6 linked regions of the Danio rerio genome follow. The protein of the gene in region 6 purifies or fractionates together with the protein of the main gene of each other region. This does not show direct contact. Links are inferred from orthologs where the notes say so. Each region holds a gene or a part of one and is shown on either strand. Other genes may lie near its edges. The genes, in order: gab2, inppl1b, ret, abl1, ap2m1b and shc1.

The links.
Region 1: the proteins of shc1 (region 6) and gab2 purify together in Homo sapiens (affinity purification with western blotting; 6 studies listed by BioGRID and IntAct, with this or other methods). This does not show direct contact. The link is inferred for Danio rerio from reciprocal best matches to the Homo sapiens genes SHC1 and GAB2.
Region 2: the proteins of shc1 (region 6) and inppl1b purify together in Homo sapiens (affinity purification with western blotting; 4 studies listed by BioGRID and IntAct, with this or other methods). This does not show direct contact. The link is inferred for Danio rerio from reciprocal best matches to the Homo sapiens genes SHC1 and INPPL1.
Region 3: the proteins of shc1 (region 6) and ret purify together in Homo sapiens (affinity purification with western blotting; 4 studies listed by BioGRID and IntAct, with this or other methods). This does not show direct contact. The link is inferred for Danio rerio from reciprocal best matches to the Homo sapiens genes SHC1 and RET.
Region 4: the proteins of shc1 (region 6) and abl1 purify together in Homo sapiens (affinity purification with western blotting; 5 studies listed by BioGRID, with this or other methods). This does not show direct contact. The link is inferred for Danio rerio from reciprocal best matches to the Homo sapiens genes SHC1 and ABL1.
Region 5: the proteins of shc1 (region 6) and ap2m1b purify together in Homo sapiens (affinity purification with mass spectrometry; 3 studies listed by BioGRID and IntAct, with this or other methods). This does not show direct contact. The link is inferred for Danio rerio from reciprocal best matches to the Homo sapiens genes SHC1 and AP2M1.

What each region holds. Positions count from the first base shown.
Region 1 is NC_133190.1:10,781,524-10,787,249, forward strand, and holds the start of gab2 (GRB2-associated-binding protein 2), read right to left. Parts: upstream 3,618-5,726; 5' UTR 3,449-3,617; coding exon 3,377-3,448; intron 1,177-3,376; exon of another isoform or gene 341-1,176; coding exon of another isoform or gene 1-340. Other genes in the region: uncharacterized protein, read left to right, coding at 1-340. UniProt on the Homo sapiens protein: Adapter protein which acts downstream of several membrane receptors including cytokine, antigen, hormone, cell matrix and growth factor receptors to regulate multiple signaling pathways.
Region 2 is NC_133189.1:37,342,404-37,347,404, reverse strand, and holds part of inppl1b (inositol polyphosphate phosphatase-like 1b), read left to right. Parts: intron 1-920; coding exon 921-1,007; intron 1,008-2,354; coding exon 2,355-2,462; intron 2,463-2,600; coding exon 2,601-2,689; intron 2,690-2,773; coding exon 2,774-2,861; intron 2,862-3,004; coding exon 3,005-3,160; intron 3,161-3,453; coding exon 3,454-3,535; intron 3,536-3,646; coding exon 3,647-4,445; intron 4,446-5,001. UniProt on the Homo sapiens protein: Phosphatidylinositol (PtdIns) phosphatase that specifically hydrolyzes the 5-phosphate of phosphatidylinositol-3,4,5-trisphosphate (PtdIns(3,4,5)P3) to produce PtdIns(3,4)P2, thereby negatively regulating the PI3K (phosphoinositide 3-kinase) pathways.
Region 3 is NC_133188.1:28,847,381-28,852,985, forward strand, and holds the start of ret (proto-oncogene tyrosine-protein kinase receptor Ret precursor), read right to left. Parts: upstream 3,560-5,605; 5' UTR 3,451-3,559; coding exon 3,396-3,450; intron 1-3,395. UniProt on the Homo sapiens protein: Receptor tyrosine-protein kinase involved in numerous cellular mechanisms including cell proliferation, neuronal navigation, cell migration, and cell differentiation in response to glia cell line-derived growth family factors (GDNF, NRTN, ARTN, PSPN and GDF15).
Region 4 is NC_133180.1:78,533,132-78,538,132, reverse strand, and holds part of abl1 (tyrosine-protein kinase ABL1), read right to left. Parts: intron 3,877-5,001; coding exon 3,692-3,876; intron 3,270-3,691; coding exon 3,117-3,269; intron 2,732-3,116; coding exon 2,642-2,731; intron 2,400-2,641; coding exon 2,271-2,399; intron 2,193-2,270; coding exon 631-2,192; 3' UTR 335-630; coding exon of another isoform or gene 323-334; 3' UTR 1-322. UniProt on the Homo sapiens protein: Non-receptor tyrosine-protein kinase that plays a role in many key processes linked to cell growth and survival such as cytoskeleton remodeling in response to extracellular stimuli, cell motility and adhesion, receptor endocytosis, autophagy, DNA damage response and apoptosis.
Region 5 is NC_133193.1:48,980,590-48,985,204, forward strand, and holds the end of ap2m1b (AP-2 complex subunit mu-B), read left to right. Parts: intron 1-1,578; coding exon 1,579-1,713; 3' UTR 1,714-3,227; downstream 3,228-4,615.
Region 6 is NC_133191.1:24,097,575-24,102,575, forward strand, and holds part of shc1 (SHC-transforming protein 1), read right to left. Parts: intron 4,106-5,001; coding exon 3,870-4,105; intron 1,182-3,869; coding exon 1,053-1,181; 3' UTR 1-1,052. UniProt on the Homo sapiens protein: Signaling adapter that couples activated growth factor receptors to signaling pathways. Participates in a signaling cascade initiated by activated KIT and KITLG/SCF.

The sequences.
Region 1 (5,726 bases), on a different chromosome or scaffold from region 6:
CCGTAAGAGATGGCGGCATGTCCAATACTTAGCAGAACAATTCTGGGGACGTTGGCATAAGGAGTATGTGTCTAACATCACAACAAGACAGTGCTGGCATACACCAAGAAGGAACATGCAAGTAGGAGATATTGTCTTGGAGAAGGCAGTGGATCTGCCCAGGAATGAGTGGCGCTTGGCAAGGATTATTGAGGCAGTCACTGACAAGGACGGATTGGTGAGAAGAGTGAAAATACAGTTCGGAGACAGAAATCTGGGGAAGGATGGCAAACGTCCACATAAACCATCTGTGGTGGAACGTCCAGTGCAGAAGCTGGTCCTGCTGATGGAGGCAGCCTGAACATACTGACATATCCTTTGAGTAAACAGTTCATAGTAGTATATGTTTTAGTGTTGTTTACATCTAGTCTTAAATGGTTATAGTAGTAGTAGTAGTAATTATAATTCATTTAAAATCATTCGTGATTAAAAGGTTAAAATTCATAATCACTCATGATTGGTGGGAGTGTAAATAACCCCAAGTTATTTAAGTTAGGTTTCAGTGTTAATTATTTATGCCGCTTTTAATTACTTCTCTATTTCTTTAAAAATTGTTGTGTTTTTGTTATTTATTTGAACTCCGCTTTGCACTAAGTTATTTAGCCTATAGAGACCCTTATTTTGACGCGCGGCTTGCCGGAAGTGGTCAGGTGCGCGAGAGCGCGCAGATCACGGAAGCAGGGAGATCGGAGAAGCGCGCCTAGCACGAGGGAGAGCGCGATCGCTTGTACAGAGAAATGCACGGAGCTAAAGTTAGATTTAAGGACTGATTTAAAAGAGATTTAATGCATATTTGAGTTTGTTTTTTGTTCTGTTCATCTTCATTGTTTGAACACCTGGTTGGAAGGGAGAACAAGGTAGATGAGGACATTTTTTATACATATTGCTAAAATTTGATGCATTTGTTGGCTTGCTAATAATTTAAATTGCTATTTTATCGTAAAATTAGTCATATATTTGCAGATACTTTATAATATTGTCACTAAGTTTATTGTTTTGTCTTATTATGTGAATTTTTATTCATTATATCTTTTCTATTTGTGTTTATTCATCTGTTCTTAGCTCTTACGGTGTTGTACAGTCTTTAAGGACGGCAAATGCAACAATAAAGGCACAAAGGAGGACAGTGCAACATCAGTGCATGAGTTTAATCCTTTTATTTCTCCAACCGGGCTGTTACAATCACTTTAGACATTACGCAAGATAATCATTCAAACTGCTCTAAAGTGACGTTTGTAAACTGCCAAAGGTTTCTGCTGTTCTGACGTCAGCTGCAGATGTGAATGGCGGAAGAAAGTAGTTCCTTGTACAAAAGAGTTTTTGAGAGTCCCCGTGTTTGAATACACACAATTTAGCTGTCGAACTGTTGTATAAATGCAATATCACACTCAGAGCTTATTTATACACAAAATTTTGCTGTTGAACTGTTGTATAAACGCAATATCACACACGTAGCTTATTTATACACACAATCATGCTGTCGAACTGTTATATAAATGCACTATCACACTCGTAGCAAGATTACATTGTCAAAAATATCTTGGTTCACATGAAAATTCAAAAACTACAGAATATTCTATATCTGGCCAGTGGCCACATAATACGCTTAAATGGAAACACAATTTAGATGATTTGAGATTGCACATCGGTTCTGTTCTATGATCGGTAGTAATCTCAATGCGATGGCCAGAGGGCACTCTTGCACAGAAATACAGATTAAATTGAAATAAACGCAATATTGTGTGGTATGTCAGCAAACTACAGGTCTGTGTAGTAAATGCTGCTCTATCTAAATGCACCAGCTAATCATGGAACCGGCGTTACTGACAAAATGCAGACAAGTAGGCATGAGACGATAACAGTTTTCTAGGTATACCATGGTTTGGAAAAGTCAAGGTTTTAAAACCAAAATGTTTTACTATACCGTTCTTAAGGCATGTGTATGATATTTTACTTATGTTTTATTTAGTTTTTTTAGAACAACATATTTCCAGCAGAAAAAGAAATACTTTGTAATAGAAAAATAAATTTAGTAAAGAAATGCTATGCTGCTGTAGTGGAAACATAATACATGCAAATGACATCACCGTTTTCATTTAAATGAAGGTCAAAATGTATGGTGAGTAGACCGAAATGAAATCGCAATCAAGCAAAAGCTGCTATTCTCATGCACATCTTGTCAGGGAAGCACAGTTGTGTGATTAGTAGTAAATGTCCTTAAAAGGCCAGAGGGTGCTTCACTTAAAAAAAAAGACTTCAAATACCCATACAGTTGGGCACACAAGATTGAACTGTGTTCATGAATTTTACATGACTAATATAAGCAACTGAGTACTGACTCACCTCTCAGAATGTTTATTAAAGCTCTTGAATTAAGTTATGAAGTGAGTTTGGAGTAAAATGTATGTTATTAAATGTGATATTTTTACATGATTTCAGATGAGGCAGCAGCAGCAACAACACAGAGCCATATTCACAAAGAAGTTATACGCAGTTATTCTACATATTATTGCAGAACTATTCTCTTTTTAATCAATTATTAGATGTTTTAATCACCTGATATTTTGAACGTGATTATGCACAGCTTGTCAGTGAACTAGGCTCTATGACTAGAACCGGCTTTACTTACAAAATGTACATGAAAATCATCTTTAATTAATTGTAGCTAATAAAAGGGTAAACACTGCCTAAGTAACGTATCGTACTTTCTATTTCCATGATTACAAACTAAAAGTGTCACACAGAATAACATTTGGCCAATGACATCATATAACAGGTCATGTGATCATAACATTGCACCACCCACTCTATAAATTAGAATTCTAAAAAGGCTCTATTAAACAATCTTCCAAACCTTAAATTTTTAAATATTTACCACACAGCATTCCATAAACTAATCCAAACTTAGAACATCAACTGGCCACCTTTTGATTTTAGCAACTGTACACTTCTCAAATGTCATGAATAGGCTTCTATACTGCATAACAATACAACAGCAATCAGACACTGTGCTCTCTAAATAATAGCATCATCATATACATGTTAAACAAAACCAGTCTGAACTGTTTTGCTGGTCTCCCAGCCTAATCAGCTTGGTTTGGTCGCTGGTCTTAAATGGGCTTCATGCACTTGCTACTGTAGCATCAAAACAACTGCTTTGCTTCTAAATAGTCCAACTTAAACCAGCAAACTGTTAATAAACACATTTCAAAACAGTATTTTCTTTTCTTAGAACGACTATGTTGCAAATAGAGAGTTTGATGCTAAAAGTTGACAGTTTTCCTCCTCATTGACTCAACATAAACCACAAAATGAACATAGCGCTTTAAACACTCACATATCTCCGCAGCTTCTTCTCGGGCGGCGACTTTCTCAACCATCCCTGACAGATGATTTCTCCTCCGCTCATTTTACAGAAAGCAAAAAACACAATCAACAGCAGCAGATCAGTCTGAAGTCCTCAGATGCTGCGGGTCCATGTATGTTGAGCGCGCGCGGGGCAGTGCCGTGGATGCGGAGCTTCATTTACTGGTGATGGGACGCGTCCTGTGCGCGCTGCGGGACTCTGTGTAAACACTGCGGGCACGAACGCTCGAGTTGCTGAAGATGTAGGAAGTGTTGGTTGTCTGCTGTTTGTTTTCCCACTCACTCGCACATACACCACGCCCACTGTGTTCAAGGGACGGGACTCTTTCTCTTTGCTGTAGGGATGAACGGAGACAATGAAGCGCAAGTGTGGAGTTCGCCACACCGGCTGTTTTATGTGTAGTTGGTGTCTTTATTACATTACACCCTCTTTTGGTGGGTTTGTGTAAAGTTTGTAAGGGTGTCTGAGACGTTCAAATGTACTTTCGTGGACGGAATAACTCGGTGTTGTCAAATGAGCCGCAACAGAGCGCACTGAACGTGTTCTCGGGATTAGAAACAGCCGTCGGTAACTTCGCCCAATCTGTTGATTAGTTTGAGAAACACGTCACCTTGTGGACTGGTGTATGTAATGCACAATTTTGCTCTCAGTGCTGGTTGATTATTTACAAATAGTAGTTTTCATTACAAAAAAATATTATGTAAAATAGGCCTAATAATGTAACACACAGGCTAATTAGGGGAAAGCGGGTACGAAAGTAAAATTTTTCATAAAAAATCTAATTTTAAAACTGTTTTTAGCAGAAATACTAACCCACAAGAGTGTTTTATCAAAACCAAGTGCTATTTTGTATCGGTGTAGAACAACTTTAATATAACTTCACTTTAAACAAAGTTGCATTGTTACTTTTGACCCCATCGGTAAAGTAACAACTATATTTGCTAGATTTACTTAATCTTATTTATTTGAAATATATTTCACTATGACTTTGTTAGTATTCAAAACAACATATTTTGTCCTTTATTTTTGCAAAAAATATTTTTATTTTACATTTCAGTTCAATCAAATGATTCAAAAGCAAACCAAAACTGCAAAATGTTACAATTTTCTAAAATCTTAGTTATTTTCATCAATTATTATTGGCAATGTTAATTTTTATAAAAGATCTGAGTCCAAATACTGCAAACTCTAATGTGAAAGAAAAAAATAAGGTTTGTCTGTTGGCTGTGGGACATAAATAGCAGTGTTGCTTCCGTCCCCACAGGGTATCTGGCCATTTAAATCTGAAATAGAAAAAAATAAAATCAAATGTACTACCTTTTTTTTTTTTTTTTTACTGTATATTAGGGATGAAAACATCCACTGAATTAAACTGCTGTGAAATGCATCAGATCATTTGTTTTAATTTTTTAATTTTCATTTTTATTTATTTATTTATTTATTTTTTATTTTTTGCATAAATCTGGTAATCAACCTCGGTCCAGATCAAAACAACTAAATTGTTTAGAAAATTACAGGATTTTAACTCTTTAATTGTCAAATTCATAAATAATCACATTGATTTGGTGAAAAAAAACAAAAACAAAACACACACACACACACACACACACACTAAATGACATATCTTCCAATATAAAAAGTAAATGTGGACTGGATTTTTTTACCCTTTATCACAGTCTTGAGCATGTGAATGATTAGTAACAACATTGGCTTTGTTGCATTGTTAGATTGTTTTGTAATAAAAAAATTTTTTTTTGGTTACAATGGAAGTCAATGGGGCTTTTGTATTAGTCAATTTGACCGTTTAGTTTTAATTGCCCACAAATTCTGATGTTTGGATTAAAAATTAATAGACATTTGGCATTTACATAGCAATTCTACATTCTGAATAAAACTAAACAAAATATTTGAGTTTCAAAGAGGAACATTTTAAAATAAAAAAGAATTTGCAAAATATAAATAATTTATTACATTTTCTAAACAATCCACAAACAAATAACTATATTTAACTTTAAGTATTTGTGAGCCTGGCCCACAAAACCAGTATTAATGTTGCACAGGCATATTTTTTTTTGGCAAAAGCACAAATACATTGTCTGGGTAAGAATTACAGATTGTTCTTTCATGGCAAAAACAATCATTCGAATATAAATAAAGCTCATTTCATGCAGACATTCTGTAAATTACCCACTGCAAATGTATATATATATATATATATATATATATATATATATATATATATATATACATATATATATATATATATATATATACATATATATATATATATATACATATATATATATATATATACATAGCC
Region 2 (5,001 bases), on a different chromosome or scaffold from region 6:
CTGTGGGCACAAATGCCTTGTTGATGCCAGAGGTCAGAGGAGAATGACCAGACTGGTTCCAGCTGATAGAAAGGCAACAGTAACTCAAATAACCACTCATTACAACTGAGGTATGCAGAAGAGCATCTCTGAACCTTGAGACAGATGGGCTACAGCTGCAGAAGACCACACCGGGTGCCACTCCTGTCAGCTAAGAACAGGAAACTGAGGCTACAATTCACACAAGCTCACCAAATTTGGACAATAGAAGATTGGAAAAACATTGCCTGGTCTGGTGAGTCTCAATTTCTGTTGTGACATTCGGGTCAGAATTTGGCATCAACATGAATTCATCCTGTCTTGTATCTATGGTTCGGGCTGGTGGTGTTGTAATGGTGTGGGGCATATTTTCCTGGCACACTTTGGGCCCATTAGAACCAACTGAGCATCGTGTCAACACCACAGCCTATATTGTTGCTGACCATGTCCATTACTTTATAACCACAGTGTACCCATCTTCTGATGGCTACTTCCAGCAGGATAACGTGTCATGTCATAAAATTCTAATCATCTCAGACTTGTTTTTTGAACATGACAATGAATCCACTTTACTCAAATGGCCTCCACAGTCACCATATCTCAATCCAATAGAGCACCCTCGGGATGTAGTGGAATAAGAGATTTGCAACATGGATGTGCAGCCAACAAATCTGCAGCAACTTTGTGATGCTATCATGTCAATAGGGACCAACATCTCTGAGGAATATTTCCAGTACCTTGTTGAATCTAAGCCACAAAGGATTAGGGCAGATCTGAAGGCAAAAGGGGGTCCAACCCAGTACTAGTAAGGTGTGCCTAATAAAGTGGCCGGTGAGTGTATGTATAAGTCTTTTTATTTATATTATATTAAATGTCATTTTTCTTTTGGTTCTGTTCTTCAGGGTGTACAGATGACATCTTCACCAGTGAGCACTCTCCTGTGTTTGCAACCTTTGAAGTGGGTGTCATATCACAGTTTCCCAGAACTGGTATGGGAATCTGCCTGTGACTTTGAATCTGAAGTTTTTGCCCTTTAGATCATTTCATAACTTGAGTTATATTAGGAGTTGCTAAACAAGCATTTTGTTAAGGAACAACCATTTCCTTTTGCCACTAATATCAAGCCTGTTTCCACTGCATCAACATGTGAAGGCCCTAAAGGTCATTCATTAAGGGAGAGCGCACAAATTTTTTTTAAATGAACATTGTGTCATCATTAACTCATACTCATGTCATTCCAAGTCTTTTTGATAAGTGTCAGTGAATAAATGTAAATTAAAGTAATAGTTCACCCCAGCATTTGAATTCTCTCATCATCACTCACCCTCCACTTTTTATCTTCTGTTGAACACAAAGTAAGATATTTTGAATAAAGCTGGAAAGAAGCAGCCATTGACTGCCATAGGCATCTTTTTTTCCAACTGTGAGTGTCCAACATTCTTCAGAATATCTTGTGTTGTGTTTAGAATCACTTGAGCATGATTAAATAGTGGCGAAATTGTCATTTTTGGGTAAACCATCCCTTAAAGCCAAAATTACATATGTGATGTTTTCTTTCATAAAATGAATTAAACAGGCATCACGGTGGCTTAGTGGATAGCACTGTCGCCTAACATCATTAAGGTCGCTGGTTCAAGCCCCAGGTGAGCCAGTTGGCATTTCTGTGTGGAGTTTGCATGTTCTCCCTGTGTTTGCGTGGGTTTCCTCATGGTGCTCTGGTTTCCCCCACAGTCCAAAGACATGCGTTATATGTGAATTGAATAAACTGAAATTGGCCGTAGTGTATGTGCTGCATGTAAGATTATATGGGTGTTTCCCAGTATAGGGTTGCAGCTGGAAGGGCATCCGCTGTGTAAAACATATGCTGGTGGTTCATTCCGCTGTGGCGACCCCTGATGAGTAAAGGGACTAAGCCAAAGGAAAATGAATGACTGAATGAATGAATTGATTAAACTGCTTGATTAATCTATAAATGTACTTTTTGATGGGTCAACGTTTTGGTTGAACTGACTTGCAATGGAAAAAATAAATGTTTTATCTTTTATTTAACCATAAGGGTGAATAAATAGTGATAGAGTTGACTTTTTTGGGTGGACTGAATTATAAATTATATTTGTAATCCGTGTTCAGCAACAGTACTTATACTTTCCATGTAACATAAGGCATGAGTGCATGGTAAATGCTGTTGACACTGGAGAGCACTAGTTGCTACTATGCATGTGATGATCTTGACCATATATATATATATATATATATATATATATATATATATATATATATATATATATATATATATATATATATATTTGTATATATATATATATACTCTTTTCCAGAGTCCTGTTCAGAGAGAGCCAGCATTGAACTGGAGGCGATTGAGGCTATAGTGAAAACTTCTAGCAAGGCCAAGTTTTTCATCGAGTTCCACTCCCGCTGTCTGGAAGGTATGTTTTTTGCTATAATCAGTGAGGAGAGTGAGCATGCAATGGTATGTTGCTTGTCTGGTTTTCTTTTGAAACATCTGTATGTCATGAGATATATGTGACAGCTCTTTTTGTCACCATCATGTTTCTTCTTTGTAGAGCCTCGTCGATCAGCTGAAAATGACTCCCAGTACTGTGAGGTGCCAGGGTTTCTCAAACTTGGTTGGTCTTCAAAACAGTTGCCCAAGGTTGAGTCCGAGATCACCTTCTGTTCATTTTAACTATGCTTCTTAATGAGGATTTCTTATTTGTTTTTCCTTATTTTTTTACAGCTTCACCCAGTGTTCTTGGATTTAGAGCATCTGCGGGATCAGCACTTGCTGTTGTCTGTGAAGTCATGTGATGGCTTTGAGTCATATGGTACATGGTCATAATGTCTTTCTGAAAGAAATTCCTCTGAAACAGTTGTTTGGTTTTTAGAAACATTTACCTCATAACCAAGAGCATAACACAGCAAACAGTTTAATTCAGGTGATTTGAGAGCACTTTCTTTAACATTTTAGGGGAGTGCTGTGTGGCTCTTCGCCCAACAGCAGGGAAATTATTGGACACATTTGAGACATGCTTGACCCACAGAGGTGAAGAGATGGGCTCTATTCGAGGTCGATTCAGAGTATATGTACCACCAGACCGCCGAAGGATCCGGGAAAGAGTCTATGGTGGGTTATCCGTGCTTTTACTATATCGTTTCTGCAAATGTACCATAGACACTCACCCACCCTACATTTCTTTTAGTTTTAGTTCCTCCTCTGCTTTGGCTCTGTTTTCACTTTTCTATCTACCATTTCTTCCTCTTTTGGCGTGCAGTTGCCTGATGTTGTCCAGATGCATCCTGAAACCTCACTGAAATATGACACTCACCATGCTGCTCACTGAATGAACAGTGGCATTACCACATATGTCTGCAGTATTAACACAGTTTGACGCAAGGCATTTCTTGTGCACATTACAGAGTGGCTCAGCATTGAGAAGGATGAGAGGGAAATGATGAAGGACCAACTGTCTCCCCCTTCTTCCAGTGCATTCTCTATCAAGTAAGTGACTAGCAGCACAAAGCTAATAAATAGGGTTTTTTGTTATGGTAATCACTGTTTGGTTTTTTTATTAAATGTCACCCTGATTTACTTTTCATCATTGCACTATAGAGCACCGTCAGCCTCATATGTGGCATCTCCAAACAGCTACACCAATCCTGCATACTTCATCTTTGAGGAAATGCCTGTGTTTCGGAAAGCCGAAGAGATTCCTTCAACTATTAAAGAATCCCAAGTAGTATGTGCTAATAACACTGTGATACAGCTGCCTAGAGTGACTGGAAGCCACGGCCATGGCAAAAGGTCTGCTAGGAGGTCCGACTTCACCGAAATCGAGATTCCTGGCTCCTTAGCACCCTATAAACCATCTTGCGAGACTCAGAGTGAACTTTCATCGACTGCATCCTCTTATCAGCTTTTTCCGGGTCCACATGTCCCTAGTACATCCCCAAACCAAAGACACACCACACATTCCTCAAATTCATCTTTACAGCTACAGTCCCATAAGAACAATATGGCACCGGATTCAGAATTATCAGGCAAAAAACTTACAAACTCATATATGAACCATTCAGTTTTTTCTAGAGACATGCATAAAGAAAAAGTCAGACAAGACTATCAAGGGGTGCACCAAGGTCGGCCTGTGCCAATCCGAAATGGACCAAAGCTGTATCCTTATGTGTCCACTAGAGTTCCTGCCCAGTCTTCAGCTTCCTGGATAGTAGAGCAGCCCACTCCAGCTTCAGGAGACAACTCACTCACAGCCCTCCAGATTGCTAAATCACTCAGTGAGGTGGACTTTCAGCCAGCAGACAAAAAGTATCCCTTTCATCAAATGCCGTCTCAACAAAGGCAGCATGGGTATGATTATGGCTTAGCTAGTGAGAGAAACTACAGTTGGGAGAAAGAGGTGAGTTGGGTAATGTTCATCTCGCCATGATTGCAGTACATAATATTTTAATAGATATTTTTCAAATATACTAGTGATAAAAGTATATAAAGGCTTGAAGGGCCATGAAACCCCACTTTTTTGGTTCAAGTCTACCTCAGAATTTTTTCAAAAAATGCTTCATAATGGGCGTGGAGCTCTGTGAGTAGAGGGAGGAGTTGTCGTGGCCGGCAGAGCAGGGAAAAAAGTGGGAGCGAACAGCTGTTGTCAGTTGGCTCACAAAGTGAGACACAAAGCGTGAGGAGACCCATGACTTTATAATTTACAAAGTTTAATACAAAGAAACAATCAGTAATTTAATGCCCTGCTACATTTGTTATTTGGAATTTCATATACACATAACCCCAATTTGTTATATGATTATAAAGATAATCAAATAACAATATAAATGAGGAGGACTTCTTTCCTCCTAAATCCTAAGGTCTGAAAGCTGACACAGTGGATAGCAGTGCAGCAAGTCTCTTTCCCAGTACATTCCAACCATTAACCCTGCCGGTAATCCAGAGGATTTTAAACA
Region 3 (5,605 bases), on a different chromosome or scaffold from region 6:
TAATCTACATGTACTACATATTTTTGTAGATTCTTTTATAGCACACCATTAGGTACCACCTTATTTTGATGGTCCATTTCAGCATTAGTAGACTGTCTGCTTAATATCTGTCAATACAGATGTTCAAGACATTTAACACCAACCCTAATCCTAACCTCAACTCCAACCAAAGTCTTAGTCTTATCTAATGAGAATTGGTTGGTATGTAGATGCAGTGTAACTGAACTTCAACAAACCATCAAATTAAAGTGTGACCCTCTATTAATTTAAACTCATTATTTACTCTCAAGTTCCAAAAATGTTGGAAGCCTGTAACCATTGACTTCTATTTGTTTTTCTACTATGAAAGTCAATGGTTACAGGTTTTCAGCTTTCTTCAAAATGATTAAAAAGTAATGAAAAAAATTTATTACATTATTAACAATTTCACAGAATCATTATCATATCAAACATCTGCTAGATTCTGCATTTACTTGCATATTCTCAGTGCAGGTTACATGTAATCTAGATTACTTCATCAGATAATCAAAAATTAAGTACATGTAATTTCAATATATAGCATTTAAACTGTTTATAATCTAATTAAATAATCTTTTATAGAATATGTTTACAAATTATTCACGCAATGTCATTTATTCATAATTCATTGATTTTAAGAGATTCTATTTTTCTCTAATACAATTTCCTTTATAAAAAAGAATTCTACTGTATATGTGTAGATTATCAAAGCATTATTTGGCTTTGAAAATTGACATGAGCATGGAAAATCAGTTTTGTGAACCCAAGCTTTTGAGTTTGGAAACCAATTTTTAAAAGAAGTAAACAAGTTGAAAGTAATCAAAAAGTATTCCCAGTAATCAGATTACATTATTTAAATTAGAAATTTAGACTAGATTACTGGCTACAATTTTCATGATGCAGTTTGCAATCAGTACCATAAAGTTCTTAAGTAATCTACACATATCTACATATTTTTGTAGCTTATTTTATAGCTCACCATTCATTTAAACTTACTATGTACTTACCCTCAAGTTGCCCCAAAGCTGCAAGAGTTTTTTTCTTGTTGAACACAAAAGATGTTTTTTTTTTTAAATGTTGGAAACCTGTAACCATTGACTTCTATTTGTTTTTTCTACTATGGAAGTCAACGGTTACAGGTTTTCAGCTTTCTACAAAATGATTAAAAAGTAATAAAAAAAATTAATTACATTATTAAGAATTTCACAGAATCATTATCATATCAAATATCTGATAGATTCTGCATAAACTTGCATAGTCTCAGTGCAGGTTACATGTCATCATGATCACCTTATCAGATAACAAAGATTAAGTACATGTACACCCACAAGTTGTTCCAAACCTTCATGAGTTTCTTTTTGTTGAACACAAAAGAAGATATTTTGAAAAATGTTGGAAACCTGTCACCATTGACTTGCACAGTATTTGTTTTTCCTACTGTGGAAGTCATGGTAACAGGTTTTCATCTTTCTTTAAAATATTTTGTTTTGGTTTCATTAGAAGAAGGGCAATTATAAAGCTTTGGAAGTGAGTAATGTTTGATTAACTATCATTTTAATATGCATTGAAAACCTCATTCAATCATGACAAACAACGCAGTATATACATTTATCTAGTAATATCTTGATCTACTGTAATGCACCTTGCAAGGCGAAATGATTCAATTTAAGTTGCTCAGGAAAAAAACTGCAGCATATCTGATTTTATTGGGTTTATTAGGCAGCTGACTACATGATGAGTCCACATGACCATTAAAATGCAATTTCCCATTATTATTAGACTGCAAGATTAAATTAACATCTGAAAGCATCTTTGGTTGTTCTCTTACTTTTTGACTCATAAGTAATATTCATTCAGTTAACATCATCCTTGCCATCCACTAACAAAGACAAATGCAACACTTTTGCATTCACACACTGCCAAATGTCTTCCGAATGACCGGAATAGCTGTGAAACCTCTGCTATGCTCCACTTTTGTCTGTATTCAAGCTGTCACGATGCAACCATTCCTTTTTAATGCAGCTGACCACACACTGAGATTTAGGATCTATTCAGGAACGGGTTCAACTCTAGTTATCTGCAGTTATTTTGAGAGATGTGTGTTAGTACAGTTGGGCACAGGGGTTTTAAGTGGGATTATAATATATTGATGTATGGACACAAGCGTGTTGCTAGCATGGACCATGTGGTACATTAGGATTGTACATATTTTGTCTTTGACACTATGAAACTGTCTGGTCAATTTCTCTAGAAGCGCTCAGTTGTCTGTGTTTAGGGACCGAATGCAGACCCCATGGATATACAGATGAACTCTTTGTTGTCTGCTGAGCAGAGTTACATTTAAAACATGATGCAAAATGAAACACAACTTAAAATTATTATAACTAAATATAAAATGGTAAAAATGATTTGCCTTTATTACACTGAAAAGTAGGGTTTAGGTTCACTTTGAAACCAGTTTTGCTTAAACATGGCAAATAACACCCCAAGTACACTTAAACATAATTGTTTACATAATTAAATTAAATCCATAGTTTCCAGGAAGCAAATTTAACTTGTTATTGAACCATTGCTAAAGTATTATCAATAACTTTTTAATAATTAAACAGAATAAAAGTTTGTCCATCACTTAAAAATGTCTTTGAGAAAGAAAACCAGTAGACAAAACATTTGCAAAATGTTCTTAATTTACTGCGTTTCGGTATTTATAGATTAATAAAATTCATATAAACTGAAACCTCAAATACGAATATATATTTAATGACTTATAAAATTATCCAAAGCAAAAACAAGTAGAAAAACTTATGCTATGAATTCTTATATTCATTGTTTGGACCATGGCTTTGTCTTAAAACCTATTGCGAGCTTCCCATCTACACCCTCGAACAGGTTATTTTTCTGAACATTGGGTTCATTAAAGGACCCTCCAGTTATATATAAAAAAACAATTTATACTTTGAATATTATAAAAGTTGGCGGTTCATTCCGCTGTGGCGACCCCAGATTAATAAAGGGACTAAGCCGACAAGAAAATGAATGAATGAAGATTATGAAAGTATATTTGCGGGTTTCTTGAATGTTGTATAAAAATTAAGACAACAGAAATGAGAAACCATTTCATCTGAGAAGCAACATGCAGTCTATGTAGGCTGCTTTCCAGGGTTTTGACACACAACCCCGTGTTGTCACTGGTTACTAAAGGATGTTCACTAAAGGCGACAATTCAGTTTAAGTTAAAATACGACAAGTGTGACAGTCTCTAGACAGTCATTCACCAGCTCTGCCTCTCAACACAGTTGTTTATCCCACACAGTGATGGCTAAAGAGCGGACAGTTCGCGCGAGGGCATCAGGCTATTATGGAGTATAAACCCTTACCTTCAGACAGGAGAAGCAGGAGCACTCCCCACACGATTCCCCGCGTACTTCCCATAATTGTCAATCATAAGTGTAATGTCACAACGAACAGGTAAAAGTATTTTGATTCCTGACAACAGAACTTTGCCTTGTTTTGATTCGAGCGAAAGGAGCCACGAAAGTCCTCAACGTGAGTGTCCCATTGACGGGCGACTGCGGCGCGAGCTGCTGGACCGTCCGCGCGCGCGCGCTCACTCTCTCTTACACACACAGGGAGGGAGAGAGAGAGAGAGAGAGAGAGAGAGAGAGAGAGAGCACAGCAGGGGGAGGTTCACATCTCATCCAGCCAATTTCCTCAGATGTGTGTTTATGTCCTGAATCACATCAGCGGGTCTCCAATGAGCCCAAGACTTCTTCCTGAATTAAAACGAAATTTTGAGGACATGCAAATAATGTGCTCGTTAAAGGTGTCTCCAGTGTGACTTCTGGTTTCCCCTTACCTGTCATATTATTAAGAATTAATAGTTTTAGATATACCGATTCCCTTGCAGTGTAAAAGAGCAACACTGTTTAACTTTATAGTATCATTAATCTGTAGCCTTTACAATAATCAGTAACTGCATTAATGCCTACACTTCAGCTTGCTGTCACATAGGGAAATTGACAATTGGACTATAAGTAAATTCTTCAGAAAGTTAATATATGCCTATACATGCCTATAAAAAACTATAACTGCATTATATTAATTATAAGGTAATTAACACAATATAACATTTCGATTTTTAAAAAAAGGAAATGTCTTAATGTTCAACAACAACAACAAAAAAGTGTTTAATTCTGACATCTTATACAGCAGCATGAGAGCATGATGATTTGGGGTCATGTTTTCACACAAGATCAATATATGTTACATGAACTATGTATTTTTTCCTCGTCAATAACAGTGAAAATGAGCTCTGAAGCCAAGTCTTCACATGTCAATATAGTAAATGATGTGTAACTAGCCGCTCTCTTCTTCAAAAATGCTCATTCACATATAATAATTAAACAGACTCTTGTATCTACGTACATAAAAATGAAAAGGACTTAGGGAAAAGTGAAAACAGGGTGCAGTTAAAGGGATAGTTCACCCAAAAAAGAAAATTCTGTTGTCATTTACTCATCCTCCACTTGTTCCAAATGTGTACGAGTTACTTTCCTATTTAAAACACAAAACAAGATATTCTGAAGAATTAAAAAAGAAGATGGCAATAGCTGTTTTCCCCCAACATTCTTTAGAATATATTGTTCAACAACTATAACAAAATTGTATTGATTTTATTCTTCATGTATACGAGCAGAAGCCAGCATTTAAATCGTTTTAGCTCAAGACTTCCAGTCTTATTTACTTCCATTCAATTTTAGACATTAAAAATAGCTTGTTATGCTGCTTAATGTTGCAAACTAATATTATATTATTATACTTTTTATGTATAGTCATGAACACACTTGTTTGTTGAGCAAGTACTCTGACCGCCTTCTGCCATTCATAGTAATTTCTCACACAGGAACTGAATCGGGAAGTTCTTTAACAATCGCAAAAATGAGCGCACTTCAGCATTTCAGAATATAGTCAATAAAAGTTTAGAACCATTTGAGTTATGAGTCACTGTTCCTCATGAGGAAGCAAGAAACGTCCCCAGAACAAAAATGTACTGGTATCACTATACTGACATATGGTACAGGTGAATTGGGTAGGCTAAATTGTCCATAGTGTATGTGTGTGAATGAGTGTGTATGGATGTTTCCCAGAGATGGGTTGCAGCTGGAAGGGCATCTGCTGCGTAAAAACATGTGCTAAATAAGTTGGTGGTTCATTCCGCTGTGGCGACCCCGGATTAATAAAGGGATTTTTTATGAATGTAAAATGAATCAATAAATAGCTGTAATAAATAGTAAAAATTGATGAGGAAATGTATTTATTTTGTTTTGTATATTAATTAATTCAAGTGTCTTTCGAATATTGTCAAGGATTCAGGTTTGGATGAGGGTTACAAAGATCATTTCACCAGCCAGGAACAGTTAAGGACAAGACTCTTGAAAGTGATTTTGTGCTTCTCTGTAATGGAGAAATAAGATTTGTCAAACTAATTCACAATAAAATAAACAGAAGAAGTAAATGAACTCTCCTTGCAGGAACGTTTTATTTGTTCCCCAAAAACAGTTTAATATGAATCAGGTGCCAAGCACAA
Region 4 (5,001 bases), on a different chromosome or scaffold from region 6:
ACAGCAGGTGGCGCTCAAGACTAGTTTTTAACAGCAGAGGGCGGTCTAGGCTTGTTTTAACAGCAAATGGCACTCTAGGCTAGTGTTTACCTGCAGACGGCACTCTAGGTTAGTGTCTAATGGCAGACGGCGCTCTACGCTTGTGTGAAACGGCAAATGGTGCTCTAGGCTAGTTTTAAATAGCAGATGGCACTCTAAGCAAGATACAAACAGTAGACAGCGCTCTATGCTAGTGTTTAACAGCAGATGGGGCTTTAGGCTAGTTTTTAACTATACAAAAAATGCTCATGAGGAAGATCCATTGTGGGTTTAGCGTTTGCTGCTAAAGACTAGCCTAAAGTGCCGTCTGCTGTTAAACAATAGCCTAGAGCGCCGACTGCTGTTAAAAACTAATCTCAGAATAGATTCCAGAGAGAATAGCAATGCATTTTGAAAGTGGCAGAGTTGATTTCTTGACCTACTCTTCAGCACAGCTCTGCATCAAACGTTCCCCCTTTTGTGCACACAGTAATAAGACACTGAACAAACGTTCCTCTATTTGGCATGAGATAAGCTGAGGTGTGTTGAACTGAAATGTAAGACATGGCCCCAGACATCGAGATACTGTGTTTCCAGTGGCGCCGTTCTCTGCTACCTCTGCACGATGTCGCTGATCTCCTTGACGGAGCACAGCAGCTTTGAGAAGTCCTGCGGAGTGTTTGCGGTGCCGGTGGCCGCGGGGCAGATCTGCAGCTCGCGCAGGCTGCTCTCCAGCTTATTGATGGCTTCGCGGAAAGCAAACTTGTTCCGCATCTGCTGGATGGACTCCACGTAGCTGACGCAGTACTTGGACAGATTTTTCCCCGCCTCCAGGACAGCGCTGTGGCTGCCGGTCTGCTCGGAGACACGTGCAATGGCGGTACGCAGGAGCTCAGAGCTCTCCAACAGCATGTCTCGAGTGATGGTGGAGCTGGAGAGTCGCTCTGATGGCTGCCGTGCTGGAGCCTTCCTCAGTGAACGTCGCGTCGTCATCAGTGGGATGAAGCTGGATCCCGGATCCCCGACCACAGGACTGGCTCCCATTCCAGGTAGAGGAGCAGTCGCACCTGCCTTCGAGGGGTTTACCTTTGAGCCATTTTTGGGCAACTTTTTAGCACTTTCTTGGGATAGACTAGCCTTGCCTTGATCTGCGGAGTCTAGTGAACTCTTGACTTTGGTATCTGAAGACACCTCAAAAGTCGGACTCCTTGAGGTCTTTCCAGATTTGGCACTGGACACCGGAGGAGGAGGGGGAGCGGGTTTGGGTTTCGCAAACTTCCCCTTCTCCCGCTCTCTCTGTCCTGGGATTTCAGAGGACAGTTTGAGTCTTCGAGGTCTGCCTTCGTCTCCAAGAGGTGGAAGCACATTGGGTTTTAATACCTCTGTTTGTAAGGCACTAGTTTTGGAGCTTTCTGTTTGGGGTCGGCGGCCTAGCTTGGGAGTCAGAGTTAAAGGACTTGATCCAGGACTAGACTCAGAGTCCTTGAAGACTTCGTCTGAAACATCTTCACTTTTCTTGGGAAGGCGTGGTGGTGGGGTAAGCGTGCCACCTCGTGGCATGCAGCTCTTACGAGGTAAAGCTGGCTTGCCTCTGAATGTGTTAGAATCAAAGTGTGTTGACTGAATGTCCCGCGGCAGGGTTACGGACTTCCATTCGAAGCGATCAGAGCCTGGAGGCATGCTGGAGGAAGAAGAAGATCGTAGGAAGCGTTTGGAGTTTGACATGGAGTCCTCCTCTGGAGGTGGAGTCGTGGCAAGCTTCCCTCCACCACCCGATGTAGTGCCCTTTTTCCGTGGATGAGATGGGAAGAGCTGACCGGGATACACTGGAGCTCCGTTGGTGACCCCGATGGTCGTGGTACTGTTTGACCCAACTAATTTGCAAGGGTCAATGCTGTTTAAGGCATCATTGGTGGAAGACCCGTTGCTGAAATCCTCCCTGCAGTCAGTACCCAATCCTCTACGGTCTAGGTGTCCGTCCATCTTCCCAAAGGAGCTGCTGCGCTTTGGGGGCGCCGGAGCCGTCCTCTTCTTTTTCTTAATATAACTGAAGGGATTCATTCGAAATTTATCCTTATTATCTTTAGACTGGAGCCGATCATCTTCATTCAGGTTGCTATCTAGGAGTGGCCTCGGCATCATCGGGGGTCCAGTGACCTCGGCCTCGGCTGCGTCTGGAGAAAGTTTAGTTCATCAGTACAACTGCTCGATAATAACGAAAATAAGCAGAGGTCTGAGAGAGAAGAGCTTACCGGGACTGTCCCCATCCCTGCCGTCTGTAGGTCTTCGTAGTGTCCTGGTTTTAGTTGGAAGTTCTGGCGCCTGCTGTATTGGTCCCAGGGTCAGCTTCTTTCCTTTTTTCCCCAACTCTTTCTCCACCTCTGCAATGCAACAAGAATGAGGATGAGCCACCAGAGAGGTACAGATTTACAGTAAACTGAATGCATTATTAATGTAAAATAGTGCAGAATGCATAGATAGGGAACATCTGAATCCGTTACTAATTGTAATTTAGAGTTGACAGTAAGACAGTAACCTCAAATCAGACTCCACATGGCCATAAATACACACACATGGTGTTATTATTCAAAACAGTTTGATTAAAGATTTTGAAAGCTCATACCATCAGAGATACTGGACTCTTGAAACATGGTCTCGAACGCCTGATGGGTCTCAGCAAAAGAAGGGCGCTCGGCAGGGTTCCACCTCCAACCTAAAGACAGAAACACTACAGTCATACAGGTTTACTCACTGGGCTCCATTTTAACGATATAAATGCACTTGGAGCAAGTCTGAATCCACTTTTACAATTTTAAGGATGGGAAAACTGGTCTAAAAGGGATGTCCTTACGTCGTTAAAGAGTCATGGGTGTGCTTTGAGTGTAATATGCATTAAACCAAGCAGATTCAATTACCTTTAGAAGCAAGCTTCAATTGCACCAAAGCAGATTTGCCATATAAACAGGGCACAGGACGTTAAAATGAAACCTGCGCTGAGCTGATAAAAGCTAAACAACACTTGCATTGCACAGTGTGCATGATAGGGTGTCACTTTGTCTACTCTTTCTTTCAGAGATTGTGTAGAAGGATCTGCTTACAGGCCCTCATGAGCTCATAGACTTTCTCTGGGCATCCCTCGGGTCTGTCCATGCGGTAGTCTTTCTCCAGCAGCTCATACACCTGAGACAGGTCGATTCCTGGATACGGAGACATCCCATAGGTGGCGATCTCCCAAAGCAGGACTCCAAATGCTGAAGGAGGTCAAATCAGAGGATCAGTTTCTCACACATGCATGTCTGAATGTGGAAAGATGGCTCAGTGGACATGGCGAAAACACTTTAATTAATTATTTTATATTATATACAAATATAATTTTGAAAAGGTAATACCTTCTCCATCAATAATATGCATAGCAATTTATTAATTGTTTATGCATTAAAACAGCATTCAAATATATCCCAACAATGCCTGAAGCCACAAAAACGAGAGGCTCCATTAACTACATTTGCAGTACAGTTTATAAATAACTTGAAAAAAGTAAGACAACTAAATAAAATGAGTTAAATGTTGAGACAAAAGAAGGTAAATGAGAGAAAACACAATGAAAACATAAAACTACTGTAAACATCATTTGTAACAGTGGAAGTGTGTTCTTTTGTCTGTCCATGCGTACCCCACACGTCTGACTTGATGGAGAACTTGTTATAGGCCAGACTCTCCGGCGCAGTCCATTTAATGGGGAACTTTGCTCCAGCGTGGGCTGTGTATGTGTCTCCCGTCATCAGCCGGCTTAGCCCAAAATCTGCCACTTTAACCAGGTTGTTTTCCCCGACCAAGCAGTTACGGGCTGCCAGATCCCTGAAAGATAAACCAGACCGTCAATTCACTCTAATTGTAGTGAAGTCCCACTATAGTCAAGATTTTAGCTGGATGAGGCGGCCAAATATGGATCAGATTTTGGTTAGAAGATCAAGAGTGGAAAAAAGATTCTCGATGATGAGCAACATGGGAAAATCAACAAGCCGGAATCAACAACAAAGCCAGATTACCATTAGATAATTGACACTGGGAAAAGACTAATGTTTGGAGACAAGTCCTGTGCTCTGATGGAGTAAGATTGAACTGTTTGGCCATAACGAGCAATATGAGGACAAAGGGGAAAGCTTACAAGCCTAGCAACACCATCCCAACTGTGCAGTATGGGGGCGGCAGCATCATGTTGTGGGGCTGTTTTGCTGCAGGAGGGACTGGTCCACTTCACAGCATAGATGGCATCATGAAGACAGAACATTATGCAGAAATACTGAAGCAACATCTCAACACATCAGCCAGGACATTACAACTTGGCCACAAATGGCTCTTCCAGACAGACCATGACCCTAAGCACACTGTTAAATGAGTTCAAGTGTGCTCTAAGGACAACAGAGTGAATGTTTTGGAGTGGCCATCACAAAGCCCTGATCTCAATCCTATAGAGAATGTGTGGGCAGAGTTGAAAAAGCTTGTGTGAGCAGAAAGCCTACAAATCTGACTCAGTTACAGCAATTCTGTCAGGAGGAATGAGCCAAAACTCCTGCAAACTATTGTGAGAAGCTTGTGGACGGTGACCCAAAACATCTGACCAAAGTTCTACAGTTTAAAAGCAAAGCTAAAATACCAAGAAAATGTGTGTTAACTATTGACTGTCTAGAAATTAATAAACAATTCTCTCATTATTCTGGCATTGAGCAAATGTAAATCATTTAGTTAATCCTAACAGACCTAAAATAGTGAACATTCAGGATCATTTACCATCAGATATTTTTCATGCTCCTTTTATAGAGTTTATGTACACTTCTGCTTTCAACTGTACTATTCAGAATCAAACATATACATGTACTCACTTGTATAACATGTAGCATAAACAATGACTGACAGTCATGCCATAATGGTGTGCTTCATGATTATCCGACCATGCAGGAAACTATTATTAAACTTAAGTTC
Region 5 (4,615 bases), on a different chromosome or scaffold from region 6:
AACTTCTATAGGAGAAAGCAAATTGCTATGGAGGTCAATGGATGCCCGCTACAAGCATTTCTCAAAATATCTTCTTTTATGTTTAATAGAAGAAAGAAACTAATTGCTTTTGAACGAGTTAAGTGATTATATGATTACAAAATATTCATTTTTGGTAAACTATCCCTTTAAGGATGCTTAAAGGTGCTGTATGGAAGTTTTTGACTTTTCTGAAGCATAAAAATACCATAATATGATTGCAAATATTTAGGAAACATGCTTAGTGAACATTCTTGTGTACCTGAAAAGCAATGCTGAAGTCAGATATTTTGCTTTGAAAATGTGAGTTATGTGCCGGTAGGGCTGGTTTTTGTTTTGGTCCCATTAACCCGCCCACTGCTGGTTTAGCCAATTAAATTTCAGCACCCTGGGTTGCCGTTGTGATTCATTCAGTCATGAAGGCTCTGAAAGCATGCATCCATGAGCCAAATGCATCCTCCGGTGGACAGTTGCAGTCTCCGAAATGAGATGCAGATTCAGAGTTCCACATGATTTTATTATATAGCAAATAATATAAATATTATGAACGTAAACATTAGGTGAGCAGGTTACATTGTAACCTCATGTCCTAACAAATTATGTGATGAGATTTGCAGTGATGAGCAATTTGGCTGGTTGCACCAGACGAAACACGACAGAAATTTAATTACAGCCATTCAGAAGCACAGAATAGAACAGTTGCTGCACTCCAATGCAAGGGTAAGCTTTATAATCTAATTAATGCATATTAAACCTCTTTAACGTTATTAAATATAGATGCTGAATCACTGATATGTATTGGTTTGCACTGTCACAGTTCTAAAGTTTAATTTTAAACGGTTTATTTTATTTTTAGGATCTGAGGTGAACTATGCTGCTGCTTTCAGTAGTATGGCAATAAACGTCATGTCAAAGGGCATTCAAACTCACATTATTAGCATTTAACACTGAATAAAGCACATGAGGTGTACCTGTGCTGATCATTGCAATAGTATCTGGATGCAGCCTTTATGATGCAAGCTGAGACTGCATCACTCAGCGATGCAATGTGAGACACAATGCACTCAAATGGAGCTAGTGACGTCACTGTGAAGGGTAGGATTAGGGGTGGGGTTTGGTGGGCCCATTAAAAAGCATTGTATGCAGCCCAGATTGCACTGCACCAGGTCTGCAGCCAGACCCATCTCGATCATTGTCAGTTTTTTCTGTTGTTCAGTTGCAAAAAAAATAGAAGCCGCTTCTAATATATATATATATATATATATATATATATGGAAAATATTTCTTCTATCATGTTGGCTTTTAGTTAGAGCATGACCTAAAAAAACTTTGTTGGTGTCGTCAGTCTGGCAACCAGCTCTTGCGTGTGTTTTGAACCAGGGGTGCAATACCTAGGTCAACCACTGGGTGTCAAACTTGCATACTGCACCTTTAATATACAGTGGGACCCATATTTTGTATGTCCTGTGCAATTGGCTTGTCATTTATGCTAATACAAAAGTATTTTCATTGATTTATTCAGAGATTTGCATTGCTGAAATAGTTTTCTGTCTTTTCTAGGTACCCTTTGCTCCATCAGGGCTGAAAGTGCGCTACCTGAAGGTCTTCGAGCCGAAGCTGAACTACAGCGACCATGATGTCATCAAATGGGTGCGTTACATCGGCCGCAGCGGCATCTATGAGACCCGCTGCTAACAGAAGCCCCTCGGTGAGGAGGAGGGAGAGACGGCGAGCAGATATTCATAGTCTCGCTCTCCCTTCCTCAGCGCTTTACACGGGACTCTGTTCACAGCCAAAACATCAACAAAGGGAATCCAAAACAATACCCATCAAAACAAGAACAAAACACATGAGGTGAAGTTCATCTGCACTTATAAAAATGACGTTAATCATCATGTACCCCTAAAGAAGTTCACTTATTATGAGATGAGATGTAACCCCCCCCCCTCCACTCGGTTCTCCTTTATTCCACAACATGCATTCCAGACCCCCAGTCCCCATTGAAGCCCAGCTCATGTGGGGCTCTGGCCTCTTTTTATCCGGTGATTATCACTGAACTTGTGTTCCTGCTCGCAGGCGCTATCAATGTGGACATTTCCCACTCTAATCCCCGCCAAATCTGGAGATCATATTAAAATAACCTTCATGCTTCATTTTCGTAGTGGCGTATTAGTTGGGTATCGTCCACGTTCTTGTTCTCAGTGAATTAGTGTAAACGTTAAGCCAACAAAAACCCCATGGGTACAAGTTTTACATATGCAGATGTTACATTTTCGATTTAATTTCTAAAATGATTTCTCAATGTGACCAAAAGGAGGTGCGAGGGTGGTTGACTTAAAGCAACAAATTGTACTAGTGCTTATGTCCAGTTGTCTGTGTGCGTATACGCTGCTATCTACACCGTAACAAAACAATAACACGGAGTCCAGCTTTCATTTGGTGTCATATAGTGACTGGTTTGTGTGTGCGTGTGTATGTGTGTGAGAGTCCGGGGTCCCCAACATCTCTCAGGGACATTGCATTTGTGTGCTTAACCTTCGTTCAGTGACTCTCATGGTCGTTTACCACTTTGTTTACTTGACTGAAGTTTACCGCTTGAGTTTGTCAAGTGCACCGAGTCCGTCTTTTGCTTGGGTCAAATCTCTCCCTGCATTTCAACATTCCTCTTGAGATTAGTTTTGTGGAGCAAATGCAACTTCAAAAAGGCGCATTTCACTAAATACATAAGAGGAGAGGGGGCTGGAATATTAGGGAGTCCCTCTGATTGTTCCCAGGGATGATTTCTAAACCTCTTTCCTTGCTCCTGATCTAAGGCAGGAGATTTTGGAGATGTCAAAACATAAAAGCAGGTCTTCCTTTAAGGTCTTGAACACTGCACTGGTTCCTTTCATGTGTGTATAAACTCTGCCAAATAGCCAGAGGATTTATCCTAATGCAAAGGCGTTTTAGTTAAGCGACGCACCGTTTAGGAAATGACCTTGCTGTTGATGAGAATTCTGCCCTCTACACTTGTGTGATCTACATTCTGCTACAGCCAACACTACAGACTCGACCCTGCAGGTTTAAATGAGCTTCTTGTTGATCGTTTGTGGTCGGACCTCAGTGTGTAGCTGCTCTGAGAGATGATGTGGCTCCGTTTACAGCGTATTGTCTTCATTTGGTAACTTTGTGACTTTCGTCTTGATCCTAATAAAATGTGTAATCAATTACTCTTAGTAGTGTTTGTTTTTTTTATATATCCTGCATACAAGTTCTCCCATTTTGTCAGCCATCTTTAAAGATACTCTCCCTCTCTGTTGTTTGGAAATAGGCTCATTTTGCAAGTCCCCCTATAGTTAAACGGTTTTACCATTTTTTTTTTTTTTATCCATTCTGCCGATCTCTGGAAACACTTTTAGCTTAGCTTAGCATAGACAATTGAATCTGATTAGACCATTAGCATCTCAAAAATTCAAAAATATATATATTTTCCTATATAAAGCTTGACTACTCTGTAGTTACGTCATATAATATGTCCAACAGAAATAAAAAGTTGCTATTTTGTATGCCGATATGGCTGAGAACTATTCTGGCGCAGCAATCAAGGGACTTTGCTGCAGCAGGCGCAATGATATTACGAAGCACTTATACATAGCTGCGGACTATTTACTGGCATTGCATTGCGTAATATCATTGCCCTGTAGTACACAATGTAGCTACAGAATAACCAAGCTTTTAATAGGGAATTTATTGAAACACTTTTTACTTTTGAGAAAGTTGCTAATGGTCTAATCTGATTCAATGATCTATGCTAAGCTAAGCTAAATGTGCTCCCAATCAGTCCTAGAAATCAGATGAATAGTTTCAATAAATTTATTCATTTAAGCTTAGTTACTTTCGAGCTTTTCAGAGAACTTTTGCATGGTTGTGCTCCATTGACTTATTTAACTACAACTGTTTATCAGCAACTGTTTATTAAGTTAAAGGTTTGATTCTGATTACAACTTGAAGTGGTGATGATGTCTTCAAATATTCTGAGAAGCTCTTTAAAAAGTGCATTTATTTTTTTTATATTTTAAAAAAAAAATTATAAGAAGAAAACTTCATAAAAGCAGCAACGCATACCTTTTATAAAGCCTTGTATTTGTTGTGGTCGTCTGATAGTTGGTGGTCTGAAGGCGTGGTTCGCACGTTGTGAAACATTCTGGGTTTTTCTTCCCTCTGCAGCAGGGATGGACAGGCGCTGTTTGTGTGGGAAGTCACTCATTAGTGCAAGTATTTAGGCTGACGTCATGGCCAATCATTAAGTGGGTGCAGGAGCCAGAAGACCTACTGATGGATCGATGGCTAATTAAACTCTCATCTCTCAGGGCCCCTGAAAGAGGATCTCCTGTCCCGCTACTCTTTTTCTCCTCCGTCCTTCCGTCTCCCTCTCCCTTTCTTTTTTCGCTCTTTCCCAGAGTGAGTGACAGCAAAGGGTCAAGCAGCCCCCGGTTCCGCAGTCACCTGGAGCGCAGCCAAAGCCTGGGCCTCCAGCCAGATTCAAAACCACTCGCAAAAGATATGAGGCTGCCTTTCAGGTGCCCTTCTTCAAATCCACGTTTCTCTCTGCTCCAGG
Region 6 (5,001 bases):
ACCAAAAGGAGGAAACGAAGACAAACAGAGCCTGTTCGCAGAATAAAACCATCCTGATGTCAGAACGAGATGACATCATTGCAACAAATATATAAATTCTTGACTAAAATGACATCATAAGAAGGCTTTGATCTCAAACCACAGTCCCATTCAAGCTTACCAGCCCATCTATGCAGATTGCACTTCATTTAGATATTATTTTCTCTCATCCCTTTTGTCCCAGATTGATGTTGTGTGGAAAGCGAACATGTTCCCCTTTCCCACAGACCAGTTTATCACACCTAATACGGGCAGCATATGTCCCTCACAGCATCTGCTCAATTGCATAAGGCAACAAAAAATCCAGACAGCATCCGAGCTGCTAAAGCTTTCACATATGATCAGGGGTCTTCCCGAATGGCCAAAATTCCCAATTTCTCCACGGGATCGTGTTCGGCATGTGGTGTGAGTGAGAATGAGTGGCATTCTGAGTGTTATTCTTCAATAGGAACACTGGGAAAAGGGATCTTCCAATGGAAATGACAACAGATGTGGTTCAGTTGATGGAGAATGAGCTGTGTTGTCTTTAAAGTTTTGCATATTCATCAACAGTCTTGAAACCACAGCGACGACAGGATTTAAAAACTAATCGCTAACGTGTCTTTGGATTTGGCCCACCGCACTGCATGTGAATCTTTCCAGTGCTACAAAGGGTCTGCAATTTTACTACATTCACATCAGCTCTTGACAAGAATGCCCTGGCTGGTTGCCATGGTTACTGGGAAGGAAGTGATGTCACATCCATTACGCATCTGCTCCTCTTCTTGAAGCCTATTCGTTTGGCTTTTTGCAATCGCTTTCCTCAAGCGACGTTTGCTTTAGACTTTGAATAGAATGATTACATCGCTTTGTAATTTCACGGCCGGTGGTTGATGCAGCAGAAAACTCAAGTGTTTCTGGGACGATGGGATTAGCTTACACTCCCAGTTGGAACAAAAACTGTTTCTCTGATAGAGTCAGGCAAAAATAAAAAAGGTATGAAGGAGAGTTTCTATTTCTCTCTAAAGCGTTTCTCAAGCTTTGCGATCGACCGGTTGCTGCAGACACACCTCACTTCCTGCAGAGATGATTGGCAGCCGGTTGTCCATGTGGTAGCTGATCAAGTGACTGACGCTCTCAAAGCGGTGGTCTTTGGTGCGCACCTATGAAATGGCAAAGGAAAGAATACAAGGCATATTAACGCGCTATACGGATAAAAATTCAATTGGAAATGCATAACTCTGGCAAACTTTACCTATTTAGGATGCTATTTATTAATGACTGATCGTCAATCTATTAAAAATATATATAGTATATGTACATAATAGTCCCTTTTACACAGTCATACTGGTAAATATCCAGAAAACTTATGCAATGACTTTAATGGTAAATTGAAAAAAGAAAAAAAAGACCATTCACACATCCATTTCAAAATGCTGGTAAATTCTGACATCCTTAACTAGAAATTACCTCTAAACATTTGCACTTGAATTTGTAAACATATACGGGGTCAGGCTTTTGTTGATGGTTTCACTTGTATTTAGCATGTAGCATCCAAGCTTTAGCATTCATGCTGCTGCTTTGTCCCAGAGACATCCAAAGAAGGAAGCGTGAATGGCAGCTAAATATTTACACATTTGACAACATTACAAATTCTGTGGATGGCTAAGTATTGTGAACAATTTCGATGCAAACATATGAAGGAACACTTTCGCATGTCGAGATGTACATATGTGTGTGTGCTGGCGCTCAGCGGAGCACACATCAAGCAACTGAAGCAGAGCTTGAAGGTAAACAAACTGCGTTTTTTCATAAGCATTTTATCGCAAATTTTTTACACAGTTGGCATTAAGAAGGAACATAGAAATGTTATCTGACTTACATCTAGCAGCTAAACGTGCCTGGAAAAATGTTCAAAGGCTTTTATTTTCATAAGCAGCATGGATTTGAATGCATCTGAATGTCCAGATTGGCTGGAGTAGACGTCTCACGTCAGCACGTTTTGAACGCAAACGGGCTCTTTTCTGTAATTTTCCCCCTGCGTTCAAACAGAGCATTCCGGCAAATTACCAGTGATGTTACAACTTCTCTTTCCAGAAAATTGCCGGAATGAATTTACCGGTATTTTCAAAAAGGGTCTGTTCACACATGATCCCTTTTTCAGAAAGGTCTCTATATGTGAAAGGGGCTATCCACTCGTGATGTATCGGTGACGTATGGAACACTGTTTCCGGGTCCAAGTCGCTACCCATTTGAGAAAATATTCGAACACTTTAAGTCGATGTGCTTAATGTGTGATTTTCTCAAATCACTCAGGTTAAAAAATCTGAACTTTGGTGCACATTCGAGCAGCATTAACCAATCATCTAGTCTTGCTCTAGTAGCTGTCATCATACAGGTGCAGCTCCTGAAGGAATTGGTAAAAATCACTACACTGGATGTGACTCTGAAAGATTTGATGGACCCAGAAACTGCACCATTCAGCCTTTTTTTTCACATAAAGCAAAGCTACCCTCCCAAAAAAATCTGTCAACAAAGCTGGAATGATTTTGCATCTTTTGTGAAGTAAATTTCACGTCCGAATCAAATGAGTAAACTCAAAATGTTCAAGTGTCTTATTCCATGTGAATAATGTTATGTACTCATGCAAGGTATGTCTGGTGTGAACACCCTACAAGACTGAAAGCCACTGAAGTGAAATGAGACTGCTGAAGCAATTGCTGATAAGAGATGGACGTGATGTGGCAGGAAAGCAGCTGAGCTTTTGTTATGCCACAGTCAACTGCTTCCAATTCTTCTGGTCGGATCACGTGGAGTAAAGCAACGCAGTATTATCATACTAAATACATTTTAGCGTTCTTTTATAGACCATTTTGAGGGATATAAACAATAACACTAGTCCTAAAGTATTTCCTCTTACATTTTTCATTTCCATACCTTATGAGAATCCAAATAGGTCCACAAATTGATAAATAATATTATGATAGCTGTTTTAGAGTAAAGTTATGATTGAATTCCTCTGTTACAGTTATAAAATAACTATACAACAAGGAGAAACTATTCATGGGCTAATGTCATCACCATATTAAAATGGTCTATAATGGCACAACAAATTAACACTAGAACAAAATACGCTGAGGTCAATATACCGAAAACCGCCAGTGCAGGTAAATTTTACCCACACATGAATTCTGTTTATAATTAAATAAAAAACAATATTAGATTGTATTATGTCACTCTGTTATCAAAGAAGCGTGTGGAGTCATAAAATGATTATAGGTGCATCCCAAATCACATACTTATCCTCTATTCTACACCATTTTGTGGTATAAATGGTGTAAGTAGTGCCTTCTCACTGAATAGTGAACTTTTAATACCCTGATTTTGCACTTATTTAACTTAAAAATAAGTGTGGAATGATGGACGCAGAAGCAGAAGGGGCGGAGTTTTCGAGCACTGATGTTGGATTACTTTATTTATTTTGGATTGTGAAAGTAAAATTCTCCTACGATGATTATACCGACTTCCGATGGTGAATGCGGTTACACTCATGGCAGGTGTTATTTGGTAGTTCGGTCATTTATTTCATTAATTTGACAATCGTCAACCATTATCTGGGATAAGCTTTGAATTTCTGCCAAGTAAAAAAAAGTGTTAGTGTTACTTTTAGGACGACACTACATACCTATACTATTCTGTTGAATGTGTAAATGCATAAGTACACAGTACAGATTGCATAGTGTACTATTTTGGACACAGACTATGTCATACTCTATACTTTATCACATATTCACAAAGAGTCACTTATTACCTGTGAATAATGTGTGGTTAAATTTCGTCTTGTTACTCACCACTCCCTCTGGATCCACCAGAAGCAGGTGTTTTGGTTGTCCGCCCTGCTGTCCCGTGAGGACGTACTGGCCTGGTGTGGTGCCTGACTCCCGCACCAGGAAGTCTCCATCCTTGGTCAGGAGTCTTTCGGCCTGCCTGCGGCTCAGAGGCCCGTGAAACCAGGGCTCGTTCTGCAGCTGCTCTGCCAGAGGAAGTGCCACTGCACCCGACACAACGAGCGCTGCATCAAACGGTTCTGAAGAAAGAAAGCAGAGCATCACTGGATGGTTGGAGCATTTTTACTCTGTGAATCTACATCTGCAGTATTACTGAACTAATTTACTAAGTATAGTAAACCAAAGTATTGTTTTCAAAATAGGAAAAAACACAGCATACTACCCTGCTTTACCACATTCAATTGTAAATAAGCTATCATCAAGCGTAAAATTTATTAGGTCCATACTTTATTCATTAAATTATGCTTTATGGTTTTTATTGAATGTTTGGTTTTGTAAAATGATAGAAACCTGTACAAAAATGTGGGGTCAATACGATAAAAAACAAACAAAACAGACAATGAAGATTTTTTCATTGTTACAAAGAATTTGTCAAATTTGTTTCACAAGTTTTTGTCTGCTTGTTTTTTTTAGTATAACATGGCTTCAACAAATTAATACTGTTACTAGCAGCAGGGGGCACTCAACCCTAATGCCCCTGTGAAGTTAAGGGGACACTATACTTTTATGCTGTGTTCACACCAGACATGGAAGAAGCATCAAGTGGGAATGATTTACATGTTAAGTCAAGGCAAAGGCGTGAATAGACATCCTGCACCGTGATATGCATGAATGGCATGGTGCGAAGCAAATGACTCAATACATGTGAATGGCACGGCGCAAATTGAATGTTTTGCGCGTTTGACTCGCTTTTCGCATGAATCATTCAAGTTCAAAAATCTAAACTTCAGCGGACATTCGTGCCGCGTTTACCAATCAGGAGCTTGCTCTTGTGTGGACGTGATTATGACGTAGCGCCTGTTGTTGGTGTCCCGGGGGAAAATTCCCTGTCTACACCAACAACAGTTCATCAACTGGGCTTGGCTCAGTCAGAAGCACCGCTAAATGCTTCCATCATCTAGTTTAAGTTTCTAGA